Xenopus tropicalis: one gene and its partner. The main gene of each other region encodes a partner of the protein of the gene in region 2 in a complex. Links are inferred from orthologs where the notes say so. Each region holds a gene or a part of one and is shown on either strand. Other genes may lie near its edges. The genes, in order: ssu72 and sympk.

What was found.
Region 1: the proteins of sympk (region 2) and ssu72 are in contact, whole or in part, in a crystal structure (PDB 4H3K), measured with the Homo sapiens proteins. The link is inferred for Xenopus tropicalis from reciprocal best matches to the Homo sapiens genes SYMPK and SSU72. Residues at the interface, in NP_004810.2 of Homo sapiens: Val123, Lys127, Leu131, Gln135, Asp175, Asn176, Asp177, Gly178, Thr181, His182, Lys185, Glu188, Pro204, Arg205, Arg206, Gln207, Ser250, Ile251, Thr254, Thr255, Asn262, Ala290, Ser292, Gln293, Ser295, Ser296, Lys299, Asn300, Leu303, His304; in NP_054907.1 of Homo sapiens: Glu113, Tyr116, Asp117, Val120, Asn124, Glu127, Gln128, Glu129, Thr130, Cys131, Gln132, Pro133, His135, Asp167, Glu169, Asn170, Asp173, Gln177, Glu180, Thr186, Phe187, Leu188, His189, Thr190, Val191, Phe193.

The regions. Positions count from the first base shown.
Region 1 is NC_030683.2:92,446,019-92,449,840, forward strand, and holds part of ssu72 (RNA polymerase II subunit A C-terminal domain phosphatase SSU72), read left to right. Parts: intron 1-3,439; coding exon 3,440-3,579; intron 3,580-3,822. UniProt on the Homo sapiens protein: Protein phosphatase that catalyzes the dephosphorylation of the C-terminal domain of RNA polymerase II. Plays a role in RNA processing and termination. Plays a role in pre-mRNA polyadenylation via its interaction with SYMPK.
Region 2 is NC_030684.2:70,988,484-70,992,305, reverse strand, and holds part of sympk (symplekin), read right to left. Parts: intron 3,762-3,822; coding exon 3,512-3,761; intron 3,429-3,511; coding exon 3,258-3,428; intron 3,087-3,257; coding exon 2,844-3,086; intron 2,691-2,843; coding exon 2,545-2,690; intron 942-2,544; coding exon 791-941; intron 613-790; coding exon 393-612; intron 107-392; coding exon 1-106. UniProt on the Homo sapiens protein: Scaffold protein that functions as a component of a multimolecular complex involved in histone mRNA 3'-end processing. Specific component of the tight junction (TJ) plaque, but might not be an exclusively junctional component. May have a house-keeping rule.

The DNA of each region.
Region 1 (3,822 bases), on a different chromosome or scaffold from region 2:
CTTCCCAAATAATTCTAAAATGCTGCCTGTAATCGGCTGTATTTTCACGTGTGAATTCCTTATGTGGCCTTTATTGGCTAGGTGGCCCATCACGTGTGAAATTAGACTAAACCAACTCTGCCCACCTGTTGCTTGCTTGACTGCTGGCGAGTGCCTGCTTCCTTTTTATAGTTGTATTACTTTTCCATTAGCATCTTCTCCTTCAAACATTTTCTTCTTGGCAATTGAAACTAGAACTTATTGGTCTGCTGAAAGAATGTGTCTATGCTTAAAGGGGTTGTTCACCTTTGAGTTAACTGTTGGTCTCAGAATATTACTCTATGTTCATCATACTATTTGCAATTGGTTTTTATTTTTTATATTTTTGTTTTAATTATTTCACTTTTTGTTCAAACAAAAGGAATTCTGGGAATGAATTCCAAAACTCTTAAAAAAATCCCATTAACATGGGTTTATCCTATAGGCTACAGCTCACCCACTGGGTTTAAAGCTGAAGCCAGGATAATAGCTGATCAGATTCCCAACTACAGACTGGTTTCACCTTTCTTTGAGGCTCATCAGTGTAGTGCAGGGTTTTCTGATCAGCTTAGGTAGAGTCACCATGTGGTTCTACAAACAAATAAATAAGGTTGAGGAGACTGCCTCATACAGACAAAAGCAAACAAAATTAATTCTGGGAAAAAAATTCCATTTACATGGGTTTATCCTATGAACAACTCTCCAGTCTGGAATTTCAGCAGGTATCTGCTTAGCAACCAGGCAATAGTTTGAAAGAAAGACAGAAACATGGCTGGAGGAGGGCCTAAATAGAAAGATAAGTAACAAAAAGTAAAAATAATTGTAACCTCACAGACAAATCATTAAGGTTGAGGAGACTGCCTCATACAGATACAAGTAAACAAAAGGAATTCTGGGAATGAATTCCAAACTCCTAAAAAAAAAAATCCCATTTACAGAGCAATAGATTTTTGGCTGCTGGCATCCGTCACCCGTCGATTAGGAACTAAAGGAATGCAGCTGCTATTCACTTCCCATATGTAATAGGAACAACAGCTTTGGTCACCCTGTGTATGGCCACTTCTTTAGTATGCAACAGTTCGGCCCATGGGGCTAGCTCTCTTCATGGTAGTGTTAGTGGTAGCAGAACAATGCAGCCACATATCTTTACTCCCATACATGTCCGTGGCACAGGCTATAATGATGATTCTGGCTTGACATTACACCTCTTTATTTCCACTGTAGTGAATGCTTTTCATTTGTAACAAATTATTCCTTGCTGTACCTTGGATCCTTTATTGTACTCAAATAATAATTGGCTTTATTTATTTAATGACCTTTATTAGGGCGAAGACACACTGGGCTACTAGTAGCAGCTACTTTTTCAAGGCTACAAAACTCCAGAAAATCCCCTGCCATATAGACAATACTGAGAATTGCCACTGCTAAAACAGACATAGAGACAATTACAAGTAAATGATCAGCATTGTCTTTTTTTAGTAGCCATGACAAGTAGCTGATACTAGTAGCTCTGTGTGTCTTCACCCTTAGTCTTTTTAGTCTTCAGGATGAGCAACAGGTTACTTCCATATAGCTGAAAGTAAGCCATAGCCAGTGATTTATAATATTATTTGTGTGGCTGCTCTTATTTTAGGAAAGGGAAAACAGGCTTCTTAGGGGTAGTAGTGGCAAATAAAATGACTTGTGTTCGGTAATCTATGTTCTTTGGCTGCATAGATGATTGATGGAAATGATGTCTGTTTACCCTGTTCTTTATATATCCATGGGGTAGCAATATGTATTCCTGGACAGGTCCCAAATACAAAAAAAACACATTTTTTTGTACTGTGCATATTTTCTGCAACCTTTTTGTACATTTGCACATCTTTTTTGTACATTTGCGCGTCTTTTTCGTACTTTGTGCGACTTTTTCGTACTTTGCGTCAAAATTTGTGCGACAAAATTGTATTGTTGCGCCGAGTACGAAAGTTACAGATTCATTCAAGCTTCGTTATTGTGACTTTCCTTGGGCCAGGTTGGAGCTGCAGAGTGCCATTGAGTCCTATGGGAGACTTTCCTTGGGCCGGGTTGGAGCTGCAGAGTGCCATTGAGCCCTATGGGAGGCTTTCCTTGGGCCAGGTTGGAGCTGCAGAGTGCCATTGAGCCCTATGGGAGACTTTCCTTGGGCCAGGTTGGAGCTGCAGAGTGCCATTGAGCCCTATGGGAGACTTTCCTTGGGCCAGGTTGGAGCTGCAGAGTGCCATTGAGCCCTATGGGAGACTTTCCTTGGGCCAGGTTGGAGCTGCAGAGTGCCATTGAGCCCTATGGGAGGCTTTCCTTGGGCCAGGTTGGAGCTGCAGAGTGCCATTGAGCCCTATGGGAGACTTTCCTTGGGCCAGGTTGGAGCTGCAGAGTGCCATTGAGCCCTATGGGAGACTTTCCTTGGGCCAGGTTGGAGCTGCAGAGTGCCATTGAGCCCTATGGGAGACTTTCCTTGGGCCAGGTTGGAGCTGCAGAGTGCCATTGAGCCCTATGGGAGACTTTCCTTGGGCCAGGTTGGAGCTGCAGAGTGCCATTGAGTCCTATGGGAGGCTTCCAAAAACTTGCACAGAAGGATCAAAGTCAGAAAGGTTTTCCTGCCGTTTATGATCGTTTGGATATGAAAATTTTGTGACTTTCGTATCACCAATACGATATTATAGGGCTAATATGATTTTCTCGTAAGCGTTTTCGTGATATTTGCGATGATCAGAAATTATCGTATCTAATCCGAATTTTACCCATTTCAGGATTCAAACTCTTGCTTTGATGAATGTGCTCCTTAGTGTATTGTGCCTATTCAGTTTCTTATATAATAGAATTGCATGAGTTTAATTGAAGAGATATAACTTTGGACCCATGTGGGAAAGGTTAACGGGGTTTGTGGGATGCTAGTGGGAAGGTTGGGATTGTCACAAGTCCTTACCATGCCCTCTAGGTCTGTGGCTGCTGGTTGAACGGACATTTTATTAATGTTGTTGTTATCTAAGTTTTTGCAGGATTGTGTCGCTGTCACAAACTTTTTTTTTTTTTTTTTTTTTTTTAAATACTACCAACAGCAACTGATAGCTACCATTTCCTAATCTGCATCAAAATCCAACATGGCTGCAGATGTCTGGTTAGAGGTGGAACAAAGACCCAAAAGGATGGAGAACAAATGTTACCAGTGTCTCCAGCCTACTGGGTCTTTACCCCATACCCAATATAATAGTAACAGCAACTCAGAGAGAAGAGCTGTCAGATTCAGTATTGATATGTAATCTGTGGGTGGGAAAGAGAAGGATATATTCTGTTTAGTGGTACTTTGTGGTGTAGACAAAATGTACGCCAAGGCCTGTAATATATGTTCTGCTGTAATAGATTCAATGCGAGTTCCAAAATTCCTTAACATAAATCAATCCAGATATACACAAAATGGTATTTTGCACATGCTGGACAGAAATAGAAGGATCAAACCACGACCTGAGAGATTTCAGAACTGCAAGGACAACTTTGATCTAGTGATTACCTGTGAGGAAAGGGTCTACGATCAAGTAGTAGAAGGTGCGTATCAATCCGGGTTGTATCTCATAAACTGCACATGCAATGTAAGCAGATATTGGCACGCCAGTCAAGATGGGAATCTGTTGGTAAGAGCTAGTAAGCAAGTCCTCCAATGTAATCCTCTAATGTAGATAACTCATCTTCTACTTTTCTTATTCTATCAACTATTTGTTATTCATTTATTAGCTAAAAGGCAAACCTTGTGAGTTTTTATTCACAGAACAAATGTTTAGATTTTTAATG
Region 2 (3,822 bases):
CCGCTGCACAGCTCCCAATTTTAATGATTTCATTTGGACCTCTGTAAGTGGCTCTGTGACTTCCTTCAACCTAAATACCTTCTTACGACCTCCAACACCAGAAGGCCTAGAATAAATGAGAATGACAGTGTTGTGAGCTGCATGCTAAGTAAAGGTGTGTTAAGAATTATAAAACACATAAAGGACAAATATGTATTTTGGGTCAGGCAATGGGTGACAAAGGTAGCAGGTTAAATGTATGTTTGCAAGTACAAGAGGGCAAATGTGTGTGTTAGGGTGGTGTGTGGATCCACTCACAGCTCTCTAGTTTCCACATGCTGAAGTCAAATTAGCACTTCATTACTATTAAGATTATATATTACATTAAGCTACAAAAGTTTGTAAGCTTTTACCTGATCTGAGTTGCTGGTAGTATAGGTTCAGGCCGCTTCTTGGCAAGTGGAGCATCTTCCTCCTCCTCTTCTTCTTTAGCCTTCTCACTCTGACATCCCAAAACAGATATAGCCTGTCCCTTGGTAAGTGCAGAAATCCGGCGTTTGATCACCAACCCCTCAGGCTTGGTGTTCTCTTCCTCCACTACATCCACTGGAACATCTTTTGTCTGCTCAACCCCTGGTGTTGTGTTTCAGAAAATTTCAGAGATAGATATGTGATGCAAGGTAAAAAAAAAACAGTTTTTCTTAAATCTTCTTAACTTTTACATTTTCTTAAATTTTCAGTTAGCACTTTTAAACATGTTTTTCTATCAATATGATTTGTGCCATATTAACTTTTATTAACTACAATGTACCTGGACCAATGCCAACTGATGTCATTTGTGTAGCCATGAGTCTAGCAAGATGGCGAATCTGGGCGTCAGTCCCAGCTGACTCAACTGGAGTGTAAGTGGCCTGGAAGGAGGCAGGCATGGAATCCGGTAGATACACCATACTGATGAGCACCTAAGCACAATAAATAGGTAGGAAAAAGAGTTCAACAACATTTCCAACTTAAGTCTAAAAAAGGTAACCATTTATATAAAGTTAACAAAGAAATTTCTATTTAATGCAATTCTGATGCCCTGTGCTTTCAGCTGGCACAATAGGTCAATAACACTGTGGGGTCCTTAGTTAAATTTGGCCTGAGCGCTATGTGCAAGGAGAAGCTCTATAAACTGATGCATTTTTAAAATAAACATGTTTTCCCATGACAGCATTCCTTTAAAGTTTGTTCACAAGGATACCGAGGACCAGAATGAGGTCTGTAAAAGCCATCATTCATTAGAGTACAGGAGAAACAAATTTCAGATAACAAAAGTGTGCAGACAGAGGCCATATTCTCTACCTCTACAAGCAGGGTTTTAGAAAAACTTTAAAAGCAGGAAAGTTTATATTGATATTACCAATACAATAAAAGACTTCACTGGATACCTGTTATCAATATTCTTTTTCATTCTTTAATTTTTTTTAAATATTTTTCTGATGAACAAATATTGGATAAAACTACTTTCTGTTGTTTAATTATGTACAAAGTTAAAATAAAAAATAAATTATGCTCTACTGCACTGAGCTACTCACAGCTTTGACAGATCAAATGGGGGGGAGAATCAATGCACTGATAGCAGCCCAAAGGTGAGCATCAATAATTATAGATGTCTTCCTCGTAAACAAAATGTGTGAACCTTAAAGCTGATGGCCCACCGAGCCAGTTAGTCTCCCGCAATCAATCGCTGCTAATGCGGACAAATAACCGTTCAAAAATGCCTTTTCACCGGCAACAATAGGAGTCGCCGGTTGAAAGGCCCACGCATTGATTCGGCATTCTTAAGTCGTGCAAAAATGTCTGCAGAAGGAAACTTCGGAAAGCCAAAGCAACGTATAGGCTTTCAGAGGGGTTGCCCGCAGTAGCAGAGATCCATCAGGCCATCAGCCTTATCTGCTGCTGAATAAATATATAGGAAAATTGACTGCAAGTTAACCCATTTTCCCTTTAACTGAAGATTCAGTATTGTATGTCTTAACAAACCACGGTGTAGAAGATATATATGAGAGAAAAACAAGCTTTGAGTAACAAGGCAAGCTTTACATTACAAATCTAAAACATATACTTAATGCATGTTAATATACTGTTGGAAATCTAGAGAAGCTTGCACAGTTTTCTAAATGGCACTTAAACTAAAAAAAATGTACTGTACTTTTTTCTTCACTTAATACTTAGGGAAAACAACCTTAATATCTGTATAGATAAACTCTATATTGTAAGTTAGAATATAAGGATAAAGACACACAGAGCTACTAGTAGCAGCTTGTACAAAAATAGACAATGCAGATCATTTACTGACTGGTCTCTACGTGTTTTTTAGCAGAGGCAATTCTCAGTATTGTCTATGGCAGGATATTTTCTGGTGTTTAGAAGCCCTGACAATAGCTGCTACTAAGTAGCTCTGTGTACTTTCACCCTAAAAGATTATTTTGTCCAGTAAATGCAACCATGCAAGAGCATTTGAATCCCTGATCGCTACATCCTTGGAATCTAATACACAATGACTTTAAATGTTACACTAACCAGGTTTGCCACATTCTCTGGGGAAAGCAGTGGGCGCAGGAATTCAGCTGTGATGTCTGTAGCCGACTGCGTGCTTGGTGCAGGAGCAGGAATGGTGGGAAGCTGTATTGTGTCTTTATCATCATCGTCATCAGGCAGTGGAATGTCTGCATATAAAGGAGAGACTTGTGATATGTTGGATAAAGTCGATCTTTATGCTTTGTACCTGTTTGCCCTAAGCAATTTTTAACACCACTGTATTGTTCTAACAAAAAACACTTATTTTTACTGTATTGTTTTGACAATAACATTAATCTTACCAGTGCGGCTCTTCTTTTGTCCCCCTTCACCATCTTCCCTGGCCCTTTTCCGGTTGCTGTCCCTTGGCGGAGGAAGATGTCTGGTTATCTCTCCCTGGCTAGTACCCAAGTCTAACAGGAGAGTACTTATAGGCCCCTGGTACTCATAAGATGATGAATGACGCAGTACACTCAATAGCTGCAGTTTGAGATTTTTACGCACACTGCTCACTTGGGACTTTGCTAGTGTAGGGGGTAGGTTGGCTGTAGAGGTGAGGAGAGAGGTTACAGGATGGCAAATTAAAAGTATGATGATTCAGATATTACACATGGTCACAGTATTACTAGGAAGCACTACTTTTATAAAGTTGCCTTAAATATTTAGGGATTAGAGAATTTAAAGTCTAGAATAGGGCATGCAATGTTTTTCCGTACCATGCAGGGTCTCATAAGCCTGGATAACTTCTGCCATAAACATCGGCCTCTGTCGAGCAATCGATGCTAAAGATCCAAGGGCTGCTGTAAGGTTGATGCTGGAGATAGCAGGGTGAGCCATAAACTTTAGAAGTTCCTTCACAGCCTGTTTTCCTACATCTCGCAGTGTATCTGAAGAATAAAGGGCAAGGAGAATGTAGGAGAAAAATATATGCTAAAGGGTCATAAGAGACAAAAGTTATTGATAAACTCACTATATTTAAGGAATGCATGGTCAGAAGGGATCTGCTCTAGGCTGATGTCCCCTTCTTGTCTTTTTGGAACTTCACTGTCAGGGGTACGAGGAGACAAGGTGACAATCAAACTTTCTACAAACTTTACTGCATGAGTGCGGATGCCATCATTATCCGATTCCAACAAGAGGAGGATGTCTGCAGCCATCTCAGTTACAAGGTCCCAGCAGGATTCTTGTTGCTCAGATGGAGGGCGGGAGCGAGCAACCCACTGCAGGAAAGATCAGTCAATAAGAAAAGGAAGCAAGGAGATATAGAAATTACACTGTGAC